4 linked regions of the Saccharomyces cerevisiae S288C genome follow. The gene in region 1 interacts genetically with each later gene. Each region holds a gene or a part of one and is shown in the gene's direction. Other genes may lie near its edges.

Evidence for each region.
Region 2: mutations in CCW12 (region 1) and SLA1 together harm fitness more than expected from each alone (negative genetic interaction), as found in Saccharomyces cerevisiae (4 studies listed by BioGRID, with this or other methods).
Region 3: mutations in CCW12 (region 1) and CHS3 impair growth when combined (synthetic growth defect), as found in Saccharomyces cerevisiae (5 studies listed by BioGRID, with this or other methods).
Region 4: mutations in CCW12 (region 1) and CHS7 together harm fitness more than expected from each alone (negative genetic interaction), as found in Saccharomyces cerevisiae (7 studies listed by BioGRID, with this or other methods).

What each region holds. Positions count from the first base shown.
Region 1 is NC_001144.5:369,144-371,757, reverse strand, and holds CCW12 (Ccw12p), read left to right. Parts: upstream 1-1,659; coding exon 1,660-2,061; downstream 2,062-2,614. Other genes in the region: mitogen-activated protein kinase HOG1, read right to left, coding at 1-138; YLR112W (uncharacterized protein), read right to left, coding at 548-967; YLR111W (uncharacterized protein), read right to left, coding at 1,035-1,367; thioredoxin peroxidase AHP1, read right to left, coding at 2,447-2,614. UniProt on the Saccharomyces cerevisiae protein: Component of the cell wall. May play a role in the formation of a tightly packed outer mannan layer, which protects the inner glucan.
Region 2 is NC_001134.8:212,132-218,064, reverse strand, and holds SLA1 (cytoskeletal protein-binding protein SLA1), read left to right. Parts: upstream 1-1,698; coding exon 1,699-5,433; downstream 5,434-5,933. Other genes in the region: drug-responsive transcription factor PDR3, read right to left, coding at 1-595; LDB7 (Ldb7p), read left to right, coding at 936-1,478; HIR1 (Hir1p), read right to left, coding at 5,890-5,933. UniProt on the Saccharomyces cerevisiae protein: Component of the PAN1 actin cytoskeleton-regulatory complex required for the internalization of endosomes during actin-coupled endocytosis. The complex links the site of endocytosis to the cell membrane-associated actin cytoskeleton.
Region 3 is NC_001134.8:283,926-289,547, reverse strand, and holds CHS3 (chitin synthase CHS3), read left to right. Parts: upstream 1-1,622; coding exon 1,623-5,120; downstream 5,121-5,622. Other genes in the region: putative thioredoxin peroxidase SCO2, read right to left, coding at 1-103; POA1 (ADP-ribose 1''-phosphate phosphatase), read right to left, coding at 5,277-5,622. UniProt on the Saccharomyces cerevisiae protein: Polymerizes chitin, a structural polymer of the cell wall and septum, by transferring the sugar moiety of UDP-GlcNAc to the non-reducing end of the growing chitin polymer.
Region 4 is NC_001140.6:381,880-385,028, forward strand, and holds CHS7 (Chs7p), read left to right. Parts: upstream 1-1,658; coding exon 1,659-2,609; downstream 2,610-3,149. Other genes in the region: 60S ribosomal protein eL42 RPL42B, read right to left, coding at 111-427, 869-872. UniProt on the Saccharomyces cerevisiae protein: Chaperone required for the export of the chitin synthase CHS3 from the endoplasmic reticulum.

The sequences.
Region 1 (2,614 bases):
AGATGTCAAAGTGTCCGTGGCTGAGCAAACCAACCCAAATGCCCCCATCCCAACGGGGTTTAAATCATTGTATCTATTTGTGATCTCGAAAACTGTACCGAATATCTGTGTCCTAATGAATTCCTCGTTAGTGGTCATTATTATATACGATAGTTGTAGTTTTCCCTGTTTTCCCTTTGTTCCTTTTTTTCGAGTCTAGTATTTACCAATATAGAAGAAAGAGAAAATAAATAAGGTTTCTTGTTAGAGATTAGTTACTTTTGCTATTATTATCGCAAATTCCTCTTCCACTATACAAACAAGAAAGTAATTACTACTCTTATTGTAAGATAGTATGATAATTTCGACGATAGATAATATTTGCTTTTCGTTGGCCTTTTCTTTTTTTTTTTCCTTCCTTCCCTTCGAAGATCCTCCCGTATAATAACGCCGCCAGACCATGTAGGGTAACCAGAGAATACGCCCACTCCGCTTTCGCATGTGGCACTCCTGTATGTCAAAATGCCGAATAATCTCCATCCATGACGAAGCGCTTTGAGGTGTTTAATTATATACAGGGCAAAGTCTTGGAGATAAAGAACGCTTTCCTAACAACTTGCGCTATTCCTCTTATTTCCTTCAATCGATTAAAATTAACTTTTAATCGACATTGTCTTTTAAACCAGGGCAAAGCAAAATAAAAGAAACTTAATACGTTATGCCGTAATGAAGGGCTACCAAAAACGATAATCTCAACTGTAAACAGGTACAATGCGGACCCTTTTGCCACAAAACATACATCATTCATTGCCGGAAAAAGAAAGAAGTGAAGACAGCAGTGCAGCCAGCCATGTTGCGCCAATCTAATTATAGATGCTGGTGCCCTGAGGATGTATCTGGAGCCAGCCATGGCATCATGCGCTACCGCCGGATGTAAAATCCGACACGCAAAAGAAAACCTTCGAGGTTGCGCACTTCGCCCACCCATGAACCACACGGTTAGTCCAAAAGGGGCAGTTCAGATTCCAGATGCGGGAATTAGCTTGCTGCCACCCTCACCTCACTAACGCTGCGGTGTGCGGATACTTCATGCTATTTATAGACGCGCGTGTCGGAATCAGCACGCGCAAGAACCAAATGGGAAAATCGGAATGGGTCCAGAACTGCTTTGAGTGCTGGCTATTGGCGTCTGATTTCCGTTTTGGGAATCCTTTGCCGCGCGCCCCTCTCAAAACTCCGCACAAGTCCCAGAAAGCGGGAAAGAAATAAAACGCCACCAAAAAAAAAAAAATAAAAGCCAATCCTCGAAGCGTGGGTGGTAGGCCCTGGATTATCCCGTACAAGTATTTCTCAGGAGTAAAAAAACCGTTTGTTTTGGAATTCCCCATTTCGCGGCCACCTACGCCGCTATCTTTGCAACAACTATCTGCGATAACTCAGCAAATTTTGCATATTCGTGTTGCAGTATTGCGATAATGGGAGTCTTACTTCCAACATAACGGCAGAAAGAAATGTGAGAAAATTTTGCATCCTTTGCCTCCGTTCAAGTATATAAAGTCGGCATGCTTGATAATCTTTCTTTCCATCCTACATTGTTCTAATTATTCTTATTCTCCTTTATTCTTTCCTAACATACCAAGAAATTAATCTTCTGTCATTCGCTTAAACACTATATCAATAATGCAATTTTCTACTGTCGCTTCTATCGCCGCTGTCGCCGCTGTCGCTTCTGCCGCTGCTAACGTTACCACTGCTACTGTCAGCCAAGAATCTACCACTTTGGTCACCATCACTTCTTGTGAAGACCACGTCTGTTCTGAAACTGTCTCCCCAGCTTTGGTTTCCACCGCTACCGTCACCGTCGATGACGTTATCACTCAATACACCACCTGGTGCCCATTGACCACTGAAGCCCCAAAGAACGGTACTTCTACTGCTGCTCCAGTTACCTCTACTGAAGCTCCAAAGAACACCACCTCTGCTGCTCCAACTCACTCTGTCACCTCTTACACTGGTGCTGCTGCTAAGGCTTTGCCAGCTGCTGGTGCTTTGTTGGCTGGTGCCGCTGCTTTGTTGTTGTAAACTTAGTTTATTATTATTTATACATTCTAAATTTTTTATAAACTTTTTTGGCATTTAACAAATATATAACAATTGGGATTTAGTAGAAATTCTTTTAATTTCTTCTTTTTTTTTTTAATCTATATTTATTCTTTTTCTTTAATTTTGTTCGAAACGCATATAATGTTTTTATTGATTTTGTTTCAGGTTCCTGAACCTCGCGGAGTTCCTATTTTACTGTTGTTTTTTTTCAAAACACAGGGGTACCTTGAAGTATACGCAGTGCCTCTTAGCCAAGGATAATATAAACACACTAGAACAAAAAAAAAATACTCCTTGTACAGAATCGTTTTCTATTTTGAATTTTTTTTATATAAACATGGTTTTATTGTCTATTACATAGCATCTACAAATGAGCCAAGACACTTTCGACTGAGGAAACGGTCACATCGGTACCTGGGTTGGTTTCCTTGGCAGCGTAAGTAACGATACCGTTTTCAACAACCATGGCCCATCTACCACTCCAGTAAACACCGTCACCGACGGCTAATTCGAAACCAATGGATTTGGTGAA
Region 2 (5,933 bases), on another chromosome or scaffold:
TTAAAAGATACGTTTCTATCGATCTTTGTGGGCGAGGAGAGAAACTGGAAAGCTTGGGGTAGTTTATTTCGGGATTCCAACTGTTAATCAGGTTATTCAACTGCGACTTCGTTTTATCAATCAAGAGCTGAGTGTCATCACAAGGCGGCAGAGCGTACAAATTTGTCAGAATATTTTGATACGTAACCAGTTGATTTTGATATTTGGAATCATCTTTAAAGAGAATATTATTATCATTAGTAGGATTATTGGAAGTATCAGGAGCATGCGTCGCACTCGGAGAGACTGGAGTCTGTATCAGGTCGTTCATCAGTTTGAAGTAATATTGATTATCTAGCTTAATCGCAGTGTCCAGATGCTGTACATCTGCTGAAGCCTCTACATTGGCGTGGGAAGAGGGTGGAGCAACAGCTGTAGTAGGCAAAGACTGGGAACTATCCTCCTTCTGCGGTAAATGTTTTTTTAGGAATACACACGTACAATCGTAAGAAATGCAGTTGGTACATGGATATTTACCTGTGCATTTGATTTTCCTTTTTCTGCAATTGACACATGCTGTCGAAACTTTTGATCTAGTTGATTTCTTCACTTTCATTGCGGTCACGCAATAAGAAAAAATTAATAAAACTGCTGATGCAGTTGTCGCCTAAGACCTATGGTTGCTTTGGAAGGCTCCTGAAGACACAAACACAGGAAATACATAAATACATTAATGAGATTCTATAACAGTATCTACATATTTGCATTCTAAGACTCACTGTGATAGTTCATTTATTATTCCGCGGAAAGTCCGAGCGGCAGAGGAGGCAGCTCCGCGGAAACAAGGGCAGCGCCTGTTGTTCTGGAAGAAAATGAAAAGTGAAATGCAGTTGTCGTGGAAATAATGGCTTTACCTGAAAGCAGCAGAGCACGGTGTTAACAAGGAATAGCTGAGAATGAGTGGAAGTAATATGGGATACTATGACGTACTCGCAGGGCTTTCAGCGCTGGAAAAGTCATCCCAGGTAGTGTTCAGTGCGACTGAGCTTCAACAGCTTACGCAACAATCTCATGCTACCGACAAGGGCATAGAGGGCAGTGAGAATAGTAAAGCGAAGGTATCCAAGCCCAAAAGAGTAGCTGTACATGGTTACCTAGGCGGTAAAGTGTCGCTCGCCGATGCGGCACAGGTGGAGTATGAAGTAGGCCATTCACTGCTGGGCAGTTATGTGCCACGCCAGCAGTTGGAAGCCCTGTCAAGTGTCGACTTTTCGCACCATTTCCACCGCACATTAGAATGCAAAGCTGCTCTAGAGACACACGATGTTTTTCTTGCCGGCGCAGGACAATTGTCTCTACCCTTCCAATCACACATAGAGAGCCCCAGGAATAGCGAGGCTAAAAGGAAAAGAAAAGTGATAATATGCAAACGGTGTCAATCACGATTTATAGGTTCCCATAGGCGGTCTCAACTTAGAGAACATGCCTGCGTAGATTAAACCATGTAATTGATAGAGGTAGAATGTTGCTTCGTAGAAAGTGACTATACGATTCCTAAAAGGGGCTTCCTTCCACTCATGCGAAATCGAGATACATCAGACGAAAACAGAACGAATATTTAGCGCATATATACTATGTATATCTATTGCAATCCTAAAAGAAGGGATAGTGTAACATAGCCAAGGCGACAGAGTGTGTTATATACAAAAGAGCTAGAGTATGACTGTGTTTCTGGGCATCTATAGGGCCGTCTATGCCTATGAGCCGCAGACACCAGAAGAACTGGCCATCCAAGAAGACGATCTGTTGTACCTCTTACAGAAGTCAGACATTGACGATTGGTGGACAGTAAAGAAAAGAGTCATTGGTTCCGATAGCGAAGAACCGGTGGGTCTAGTGCCCTCCACTTACATTGAAGAAGCTCCTGTTTTGAAGAAGGTAAGAGCCATTTATGATTATGAACAGGTGCAAAATGCTGATGAAGAATTGACGTTTCATGAAAATGACGTTTTTGATGTATTCGATGATAAAGATGCTGATTGGCTGTTGGTTAAGTCTACCGTTTCCAATGAATTCGGCTTCATTCCAGGCAATTACGTCGAACCAGAGAATGGGTCCACTTCCAAGCAGGAACAGGCTCCCGCTGCCGCTGAAGCTCCTGCAGCTACTCCTGCAGCCGCTCCTGCTTCTGCTGCCGTACTACCCACCAACTTTTTACCACCTCCTCAACACAATGATAGAGCTCGTATGATGCAAAGTAAAGAAGACCAAGCTCCAGATGAGGATGAAGAGGGCCCTCCTCCTGCCATGCCTGCAAGACCAACGGCTACTACCGAAACTACTGATGCCACCGCTGCGGCTGTTCGATCTCGTACAAGACTATCATACAGCGATAACGATAATGACGATGAAGAGGATGATTACTATTACAACAGCAACAGCAACAACGTTGGAAATCACGAATACAATACAGAGTATCACTCTTGGAACGTTACCGAAATCGAGGGAAGGAAAAAGAAGAAGGCCAAGCTATCAATCGGTAACAACAAGATAAACTTCATACCCCAAAAGGGGACTCCTCATGAGTGGTCAATTGATAAATTGGTCTCTTATGATAACGAAAAGAAACACATGTTCTTGGAATTTGTTGATCCATATAGAAGCCTTGAATTACACACTGGTAATACCACCACATGTGAAGAGATCATGAACATTATTGGTGAATATAAAGGTGCTTCCCGTGATCCTGGGTTGAGAGAAGTCGAAATGGCTTCCAAATCCAAAAAGAGAGGTATTGTTCAATATGACTTCATGGCTGAATCACAGGACGAATTAACCATAAAATCAGGCGATAAAGTCTACATTTTAGATGATAAAAAATCTAAGGACTGGTGGATGTGCCAACTGGTTGATTCAGGGAAAAGCGGTCTCGTTCCTGCACAGTTTATTGAGCCTGTTCGTGACAAAAAACATACTGAATCTACAGCAAGCGGTATCATCAAGTCTATCAAGAAAAACTTCACCAAATCTCCATCTAGGTCGAGATCTAGATCAAGATCTAAATCCAATGCCAATGCCAGTTGGAAAGATGATGAACTACAAAACGATGTTGTAGGTAGTGCTGCCGGTAAAAGGTCAAGAAAAAGTTCATTGTCCTCTCACAAAAAAAACTCTTCGGCGACCAAAGATTTCCCCAATCCAAAAAAATCGCGTCTATGGGTTGATAGAAGTGGTACTTTCAAAGTGGATGCAGAATTCATTGGATGTGCTAAGGGGAAAATCCACTTGCACAAGGCTAATGGTGTCAAGATTGCTGTCGCCGCTGATAAACTATCCAATGAAGATTTAGCGTATGTGGAAAAAATTACTGGGTTCTCCTTAGAGAAATTTAAGGCGAATGATGGGTCTAGTTCCCGTGGCACTGATTCAAGAGACTCTGAAAGAGAAAGAAGAAGGAGATTGAAGGAGCAGGAGGAAAAAGAACGCGATAGGAGATTGAAAGAGCGTGAATTATACGAATTGAAAAAAGCCAGAGAACTCCTAGATGAAGAAAGATCAAGGTTGCAAGAAAAGGAATTGCCTCCAATAAAACCACCAAGACCAACCTCTACTACCTCCGTTCCAAATACGACGTCCGTACCACCAGCCGAAAGCAGCAATAACAACAACTCCAGTAACAAATATGATTGGTTCGAATTTTTCTTGAATTGCGGCGTTGATGTAAGCAATTGTCAAAGATATACAATAAATTTTGATAGAGAACAGCTTACTGAAGACATGATGCCTGACATCAATAACTCAATGTTAAGAACCTTGGGTCTGCGCGAAGGTGATATTGTTAGAGTAATGAAACATCTTGACAAGAAATTTGGAAGAGAAAATATTGCATCAATTCCTACAAATGCCACTGGAAATATGTTTTCACAACCTGATGGTTCATTGAACGTTGCTACAAGTCCGGAAACCTCACTGCCTCAGCAATTGTTGCCACAAACAACAAGTCCTGCTCAAACAGCTCCTTCCACATCAGCTGAGACAGATGATGCTTGGACTGTTAAACCGGCTTCTAAGTCTGAATCTAATTTACTCTCTAAGAAATCAGAATTTACTGGTTCCATGCAGGATTTATTAGACTTGCAACCTTTAGAACCTAAAAAGGCAGCTGCCTCGACACCTGAACCAAACCTAAAAGATTTGGAACCCGTGAAAACTGGCGGCACCACTGTTCCTGCTGCTCCGGTTTCATCTGCTCCGGTTTCATCTGCTCCCGCTCCATTGGATCCATTCAAAACCGGTGGCAACAATATCTTACCCTTATCTACTGGCTTTGTGATGATGCCAATGATTACTGGGGGCGATATGCTGCCTATGCAAAGAACCGGCGGCTTCGTTGTACCACAAACAACTTTTGGTATGCAATCGCAAGTTACTGGTGGTATCCTACCTGTTCAAAAGACAGGAAATGGGTTAATTCCTATCTCTAACACTGGCGGCGCAATGATGCCACAAACTACGTTCGGCGCAGCAGCTACCGTCTTACCTCTGCAAAAAACTGGAGGTGGCCTAATACCAATTGCCACCACAGGAGGTGCGCAATTCCCGCAAACTTCATTCAATGTTCAGGGGCAACAACAACTTCCAACAGGTTCAATATTACCTGTCCAAAAAACTGCTAATGGATTAATTTCAGCTAATACTGGTGTCTCAATGCCAACTGTACAAAGAACAGGCGGCACTATGATTCCACAAACATCATTTGGCGTTTCACAGCAATTAACAGGTGGTGCAATGATGACCCAACCTCAAAATACAGGGAGTGCCATGATGCCTCAAACATCCTTCAATGCTGTACCACAAATTACTGGAGGAGCAATGATGCCTCAAACGTCCTTCAATGCTTTACCACAAGTTACAGGGGGAGCAATGATGCCTTTGCAGAGAACTGGTGGTGCTTTGAATACATTTAATACTGGAGGCGCCATGATTCCCCAGACTTCGTTCAGCTCTCAAGCTCAAAACACTGGCGGGTTCCGGCCGCAATCCCAATTCGGTTTGACTTTACAAAAAACCGGAGGTATTGCGCCATTAAACCAGAACCAGTTCACTGGTGGAGCCATGAATACTTTAAGTACAGGGGGCGTTCTTCAACAACAGCAACCACAAACGATGAATACCTTCAATACTGGTGGTGTTATGCAAGAGCTCCAAATGATGACTACTTTCAATACTGGTGGTGCTATGCAACAACCACAGATGATGAACACATTCAACACCGATGGAATTATGCAACAACCACAGATGATGAACACTTTTAACACTGGGGGTGCTATGCAACAACCACAACAACAAGCATTACAGAACCAACCTACTGGATTTGGGTTTGGTAATGGACCTCAACAATCAAGGCAAGCCAACATATTCAATGCTACTGCATCAAATCCGTTTGGATTCTAGATTAATGTATTTTAAGATTTTATAGGATAATAACTAAAACAAGCTATATGAAATAGTTTCGTACAATCTGTGCTTATACTCGTGAAAATGGCAAATTTCTCTTTTTTTTTTTATAAGTAGTTATGTATGTATTTTACTAATTTTAATATAATCGTTCTCAGTCCCAATAATGTTTTATTGTCATATTATACTAAAGTTGAAATGGTGGAGTCGACCCTAAGAATTTATTTCTTCCAGACAGAGGAGGTGTGTAGTCACTTTGGTTCCACTAATAGACAACCGACATTAAAATACTTCTGATCTGTGCCTTCAGAAAGCTTCATCTGTAACCGCTTGTCTGTATGAGTCGTTTCAAATGGTAACCACTTAAACAATGCGAATACTACAATGATATTTATAAAATATAGACGTAATTATGAGGGAAAAAACTTGTCCAAAGGAAGGGGTATAAGCTTATTATTTATATAACGACCAACAACCCAGATCCTTAGTCCATTTAT
Region 3 (5,622 bases), on another chromosome or scaffold:
ACCCTCTTCGATATGCGCCTCCATTATAAAAGAGTCCTTTTATTGAGACGTTCGCTTGTCTGAATAGGGAACGACAAGCATATTTTCTTGAACTATTCAACATTTTACTCTCGCTTCCCAAATTCCCCTTTCTATGGTGATATTATAAAAGATCCTGTAAGCTGCTGTTTTACGAAGGTATTGTAGACGATCCGTAGCCCTCTTTAGCAATTGTTTGACTACTATCGATGGGACTTCTCGAAATTCATACTTTGTTAGGTTTTCTTTTTTATCCCTAAAAAGAGCGAAAGGATCAAGCAGAAAATTAAAACAATAGGCTACATCATCGAAGTTTCAAAGACCGGCATATCCGTCCATTTTTGAAAACACCCCACCCAAAATTGTAACTATCGACAGATTCTATGATAGCTACCCCGGGATGAAGGGCAGTCTTCTATAACTTGGGGCGGCAAGCAAACCAACCGTCATAGTTAATAAACCACACGTTGGTTATTTAGATTTCTCGTCCTGCTTTTCTGTCGCCAATAGGGCAACCTTAGAAAAGGTTTGAGGATAGTGACTACATGCAATCAAGGTAAAAGCGTTATCGAATAAGTAACAAGCATTCCGTGCTAAATTGACGAGAATTGGCAAGATGCGTCAGCACTATTTGGAGCAAACACACCAACTGGATGTCTTAAAAGTCAATTCAACGACCAATTTATGTAACCAGCGTGACTAGGGCAACGAATTTACGTCTTTTTTCTAAACTGCATATGCTATGAAATTAAAGATATACTGCCTCTATAAAAACATTTATATTTTCCCTCCTTTGCAATGGAAATGAAAACGGCGGTAAAAAAATTCGTGAGAATAAAGAGACGAGTACAAAAGTTCAATTAAAAACGCCAGGAACTGTTCTTTATCTTATTCTCTCCGTACGCTGTGTCACAAAGCTCTTGTATTGTGTCTCGCTTTCTTTTTCCAGATCTATGAAACCAGAATCACACCGCAGCAGCGACGGCTGTACCGTATTTAAGAGAATCCGCATGGGAAAAGATTACAAATTACCCTAGACAAATTTATAGAAGCGGTGCTTGTGAGATTTACTCACATTCTAGGATTCGAGAACTAAGCATTGTAGTTCTTATTTACATCCTTGAACAAATACCTGCCTATCTCCGCACGTACTACGTAGCCACAAATGTATATATAATCGTGCGTTGTATTTGCGCCCTCACCCACATATTTGACATGTGCATGAGACTGGATATTTCTTGAAGCATATTCAATAGCGTCGATGGACAGTTAGCCCGCAGTTGTATTGCATTCAGCACCTGCATAGGTGACCCTCTTTGGCTGCCTATTTGGATAAAACGCGTTATTGGCGCTGGCGCAGACCTCGAAAAAAAAAATCAAAAATGAAAATAAGAGCATAAAAATAGAAATCAAAAATATTCTTTCCTGTGTTTCAGATTTACATTCAGTACCAACATTTCGACTTGTAGTAAATCCTGCTAGAAGAATCACATTGGTAGACGGTTATAAACGTTTACCGATTTGCAAAGTTCTCGAGTATTTTTGGTGTAGGTCCCATTTTCTTCAAAGGTCCTGTTTAGACTATCCGCAGGAAAGAAATTAGAATGACCGGCTTGAATGGAGATGATCCTGATGACTACTATCTGAACCTTAATCAAGATGAAGAGTCTCTACTTAGGTCAAGACACAGTGTCGGCTCAGGAGCACCTCATAGACAAGGCTCTTTAGTGCGGCCCGAAAGAAGCCGACTGAACAATCCTGATAATCCACATTTTTATTATGCGCAGAAAACGCAGGAGCAGATGAATCACCTGGATGTTTTACCATCAAGTACCGGTGTAAACCCAAATGCAACTCGTCGGAGTGGCTCCCTGCGCTCCAAAGGCTCAGTGAGAAGCAAATTTAGTGGCCGCGAAACGGATAGCTATCTTTTACAAGATATGAATACTACTGACAAGAAGGCTTCCGTTAAAATAAGTGATGAAGGTGTTGCGGAAGACGAATTTGATAAAGATGGTGATGTGGACAATTTCGAAGAAAGCTCCACGCAGCCCATAAATAAGTCTATCAAACCATTAAGAAAGGAAACGAATGATACATTGTCATTTTGGCAGATGTACTGTTATTTCATTACGTTTTGGGCACCTGCTCCAATTCTTGCTTTCTGCGGGATGCCAAAGAAGGAAAGACAAATGGCGTGGAGAGAAAAGGTTGCTTTAATTTCTGTCATCTTGTACATTGGTGCGATTGTGGCTTTCCTGACTTTTGGTTTCACTAAAACCGTTTGTAGTAGTTCGAAACTACGTTTGAAAAACAACGAAGTATCAACAGAATTTGTCGTAATTAACGGTAAGGCTTATGAATTGGATACTTCCTCGCGTTCCGGTATACAAGACGTTGAAGTAGATTCAGACACCCTTTATGGGCCCTGGTCAGATGCTGGTAAAGATGCTTCGTTCTTGTTTCAAAATGTGAATGGTAACTGTCATAACCTTATAACTCCAAAGAGTAATTCTTCCATTCCCCATGACGATGATAATAATTTAGCATGGTATTTTCCTTGTAAGTTAAAGAATCAAGATGGCTCTTCGAAGCCAAACTTCACAGTTGAAAATTACGCAGGATGGAACTGTCATACGTCTAAAGAAGATAGGGACGCATTTTACGGTTTAAAGTCGAAAGCTGATGTTTACTTCACTTGGGATGGTATAAAGAACTCTTCTAGAAACTTGATTGTTTATAATGGCGACGTTTTGGATTTAGATCTTCTTGATTGGTTGGAAAAGGATGACGTTGACTATCCCGTTGTATTCGATGACTTGAAGACTTCAAATTTACAAGGTTATGATCTTTCGTTGGTTTTGTCAAATGGGCATGAAAGAAAAATTGCGAGATGTTTGAGCGAAATTATTAAAGTTGGTGAAGTAGACTCCAAAACCGTCGGTTGTATTGCCTCTGATGTCGTTTTGTATGTTTCTCTGGTATTTATTCTTTCAGTGGTGATAATTAAATTCATAATTGCCTGCTACTTCCGTTGGACTGTAGCTAGGAAACAAGGTGCATATATCGTGGACAATAAAACAATGGATAAACACACAAACGATATCGAGGATTGGTCTAATAATATTCAAACAAAAGCTCCTCTAAAGGAAGTAGATCCTCATTTGAGGCCAAAGAAATACTCAAAAAAGTCGTTGGGACACAAGCGTGCTTCAACCTTTGACTTGCTGAAAAAACACAGCTCCAAAATGTTTCAATTTAACGAATCTGTGATAGATCTAGACACCTCCATGAGCAGTTCACTACAATCTTCTGGTTCATACAGAGGAATGACAACAATGACCACTCAAAATGCTTGGAAACTCTCGAATGAAAACAAAGCTGTACATTCCCGTAATCCATCTACTTTGTTGCCTACATCCTCGATGTTTTGGAATAAAGCGACTTCCTCTCCTGTACCAGGATCATCGCTGATTCAGAGTCTTGATTCGACGATTATACATCCCGATATCGTTCAACAACCACCACTGGATTTTATGCCATACGGGTTCCCATTGATTCATACTATCTGTTTTGTTACTTGTTATTCTGAGGATGAAGAGGGTTTAAGAACCACTTTAGACTCTCTTTCTACCACAGATTATCCAAATTCCCATAAACTACTGATGGTTGTTTGTGATGGTTTAATTAAGGGCTCGGGCAACGATAAGACTACTCCAGAGATAGCGTTAGGAATGATGGACGACTTTGTCACCCCACCTGATGAAGTTAAACCTTACTCCTATGTGGCAGTGGCATCAGGCTCTAAAAGACACAATATGGCCAAGATATATGCGGGTTTTTACAAATATGACGATTCTACAATTCCACCAGAAAATCAACAACGTGTCCCAATCATTACAATTGTGAAGTGCGGTACTCCTGCAGAGCAGGGGGCCGCCAAACCCGGTAACAGAGGTAAGCGTGATTCTCAAATTATTCTGATGTCCTTTTTAGAAAAAATAACATTTGATGAAAGAATGACTCAATTGGAATTTCAGCTTTTAAAAAATATTTGGCAGATTACGGGGCTAATGGCAGACTTCTACGAAACGGTACTTATGGTTGATGCTGATACTAAAGTCTTTCCCGATGCTTTAACTCATATGGTCGCTGAAATGGTTAAAGATCCTTTGATTATGGGTCTTTGTGGTGAGACCAAGATCGCTAATAAGGCACAATCTTGGGTAACTGCAATTCAAGTGTTTGAGTACTATATTTCGCATCATCAGGCTAAAGCTTTTGAATCTGTCTTCGGTTCGGTAACTTGTTTGCCGGGATGTTTCTCAATGTATCGTATAAAATCTCCTAAAGGTTCAGATGGTTATTGGGTACCTGTATTGGCAAATCCAGATATTGTTGAAAGATATTCGGATAATGTTACAAACACTTTGCATAAGAAGAACTTATTATTACTTGGTGAAGATAGATTTTTATCTTCATTAATGTTAAAGACTTTCCCTAAGAGAAAGCAAGTATTTGTTCCAAAAGCTGCTTGTAAAACTATTGCCCCTGATAAATTCAAAGTCTTACTTTCCCAGCGTCGAAGATGGATTAATTCTACGGTACATAACCTTTTTGAATTAGTTCTAATCAGAGACTTATGTGGCACTTTCTGTTTTTCCATGCAATTTGTGATTGGTATTGAATTGATTGGTACTATGGTACTGCCGTTAGCCATTTGCTTTACTATTTATGTCATTATTTTTGCCATTGTATCAAAACCTACACCCGTAATCACTTTAGTTTTACTGGCAATTATTCTTGGTCTGCCCGGCTTAATTGTTGTTATAACTGCTACGAGATGGTCGTACCTATGGTGGATGTGCGTATATATTTGTGCTTTGCCTATTTGGAATTTCGTACTACCTTCATATGCGTACTGGAAATTTGATGACTTCTCATGGGGTGATACGAGAACTATTGCGGGAGGTAATAAAAAGGCACAAGACGAGAATGAAGGTGAATTTGATCACTCAAAGATTAAAATGAGGACATGGAGGGAATTTGAAAGGGAAGATATTCTCAATCGGAAGGAGGAAAGTGACTCCTTCGTTGCATAGACAGTATGAAAATATTTTTACTGTGATACTTACAAGTTGATATATGGTTGTGTGTAACTTATTTATTTGAGAGGTATTTTAACACACCTTAGAACTAAAACTTAATAAATAAATATTTCTCTATCTTTAAAGGCACATATTACGTGGCTAAGGCAATTACAGCTGATATACTGTAAAACTCATGTCGCCACTAAATTCTTCTAACACGCGTTCTGTCTCTTTCCAAGGGACTCCGAATATGCCACTATTTATCTGTGGCATTTCCAATTTATATTCCCCTATTGGGTATTTGATGTGGCCGTTTAAATAGTCACCGATTGAATCTTCACTTGTTCGAGTTTTGTCTTTTGCTTCTCTAAAGGTCTTCAATTTATCTAAAGCAAGTTTTGTATAATTCAAAATACTTTGCTTTTCTCCATGACTTGAACCTCCAAATGATGATGTAAACAAGCAACAAATCAGCAGATCTGAGTTTTCGTAACTGGGAAGTAATATGCATTTG
Region 4 (3,149 bases), on another chromosome or scaffold:
CAAATAGGCAGGTTTTCAATATTAAAGAGTTAAGTATGCAAAATTTACAAAAAGTTAATGGTCAAAGTATAACTATAAAAATATAATAAAACAATAAACAATAACAACTCTCAGAATTGCAAAGCTTGACCCTTTTGCTTCTTTTCACCACCCAATTCGAAGTGCTTACATCTCTTCAAGGTTAATTGGGCTCTAGTCTTACATTTGACACATTCCAATCTCAAAACAACCTTCTTGGTAGTCTTAGCTTTCTTGTGGAAAACAGGCTTGGTTTGACCACCGAAACCAGATTGTTTACGGTCATAACGTCTCTTACCTTGAGCGAACAAGGAAGCCTTACCAGCTTTGTATTGAGTAACCTTGTGTTGAGTGTGCTTACGACAGGTCTTACCCTTACAGTAGGTCTTTCTGGTCTTTGGGACGTTAACTGGTTCAAAATGATATCACAGCAAATTTAGCATGATAGTTGATTGTTAGTAATTGATCTTAAAAAAAAAGTAATTTGACTGCACATGTAATTAGTTGTATCTTTTTTCTGTAATGGGGAAACGGCTAAATTCACAAATATCTAATGAGTATTACTAATGATATCCTCAATATATTTTCTAACCAGAGTTCTTATTAAAAGGGCCAATAAAAGTATCATTCAGGTGTTCAGTACTTTAGGAAATGATGAAAATATTTAACTAGCTCAAAAGTAAATGAAGTTTAATAACTATTAGTTTCTTGCTTGACATGGATTTGCCCTACGATTCAGGATATTTTAAAAAGTTCTTTAGCATTCTAGTAGTACCTGTGTACTAATTACACTCTCACGCCCTAATGGAGATAAATAACATGGTTTGTCTATTCCTAATCGTCCACATACCCATTATTACTGATTGTTTTTTTGCTTAATCTCCTTCAATTTACGTTAAAACAGTGAAAATACCACATCAATTAAGATATACATTGTCAACAATATGGATGTATCTCTGAGTTCATTTCGACGAATAATTTTACCTCTCTTGGTGGAAAGCCTTCCCTCCCCCTGGCGGAACCCATCATCCCGTCGAACAACTAAACCGTCAGCGTTGCCGCACCGACGGACGTCTCTCTAGAGGTCGTCTCTCCGTCTGAACATACGCACTGTTGGTACGATGCAGCGGCAGTCTGGCCGCATTTTTGACAGCGATCTTTTTTTGTATCAAGACTTCTTCCAATGTCAGGATTTATTTTCATGATGTATGGGTGTATCGGATGTTCGGATGTCACTGTCTTTTATTTTGAAGTTTGTGACAGAGAATGCTATGGAAAATAATATGTAGCAACATAGCCAACTAATTGCCATTGCATTAAATTTTGGCAGTACTATTTAAAATGCCATGTTTTATGTTGTTACAGTAAGTTATTGACATTCTTCTGGTGTTGCCCGCTTCGCTTTCTTAAAACGGTTAAATATTGAAAAAGTTTCACAAGACACGAAATCAAAAAGGATCCATTTTGGTATAAAAATAGCATATTGCATAACTTAACTAAAAAGATTAAAAAAAGTCAAAGCTACACTGGCATACTTTGAACTGTTTTTTCAAAGCTGTCTCCACGTGGAAAGTTTATTTCATCAAAACTATTATCAAAAATTGTGGTTTTGTTAATACAAAAGCTGATATATATATAATATGGCATTTAGTGATTTTGCTGCCATATGCTCAAAGACCCCGTTGCCATTATGTTCGGTAATAAAGTCTAAAACCCATCTAATACTTTCGAACTCAACAATTATACATGATTTTGATCCTTTAAATTTGAATGTCGGTGTACTGCCACGCTGTTATGCTCGGTCGATTGATCTTGCCAATACAGTCATCTTTGATGTCGGGAACGCATTCATAAATATTGGTGCTCTAGGTGTCATTTTAATCATACTTTATAACATAAGACAGAAGTATACTGCTATTGGCAGGTCTGAATATCTCTACTTTTTCCAACTAACATTGCTATTGATAATATTTACCTTGGTGGTAGACTGTGGTGTATCTCCCCCCGGCTCTGGGTCATATCCATACTTCGTGGCTATACAAATAGGACTGGCGGGTGCATGTTGCTGGGCCTTATTGATAATCGGGTTTTTAGGTTTCAATTTATGGGAAGATGGGACTACAAAGTCCATGCTGTTGGTCCGTGGAACGTCCATGCTAGGATTCATAGCCAATTTTTTAGCCTCTATTTTAACCTTCAAAGCATGGATCACCGACCATAAAGTAGCAACAATGAACGCTTCAGGGATGATTGTCGTCGTTTACATAATAAACGCCATTTTCTTATTCGTTTTCGTTATTTGTCAATTACTGGTATCCCTATTGGTAGTTCGAAACTTATGGGTCACAGGAGCTATCTTTTTGGGGCTATTTTTCTTTGTAGCAGGCCAGGTATTGGTTTATGCCTTCTCTACACAAATTTGTGAAGGGTTCAAGCACTACTTAGATGGCCTCTTTTTTGGAAGCATCTGTAATGTGTTCACATTAATGATGGTTTACAAGACTTGGGATATGACTACCGACGACGACTTGGAATTTGGTGTAAGTGTTAGCAAGGACGGTGACGTGGTGTATGATAATGGATTTATGTGAAATGCTTCTTTTTTCTATTACCATATATAGAAAATAGGTGTATACTATTAGTTTAATGTAATAAGCAGGACTATGACAAACCAAAGAGTGAAAGTAGCCGTTTCCACGTTTTAACGGCTTGTGTACACTTTGACAGTCAATCAGCGTAGTGACTTCTTTTATCAGCGGAAACAACCATATCCATAAAAGAAACGTGATGGTCGTTCCCGTAGTTTATTAAGTAAGATGACAAATTATCCTTCTTTAGTCAATTGAAAACAAAACTTCTTAATCTGTTTCCAATGTTTTAAAGTCGCTCATATGTTCATGACTACTTTTCCATGAGAGGGTTCTACGAAAAGCATCATCTTATTTTCGCAACGCTGCGGGTTTAGGCCTTTCCGCTGGTCTCTTTTCTGTTTACAGTTCTGCCCGAATGTAAACAAATACTTTGCGAAAAGTAAATAATGTATTCTGAAAAAAAAAAAGAGAACTGTGAACAATGCTTGATAGTTGTAGGAATATCTTAGAAGAAAGGGGATAGATTATCTGGAAAATCGT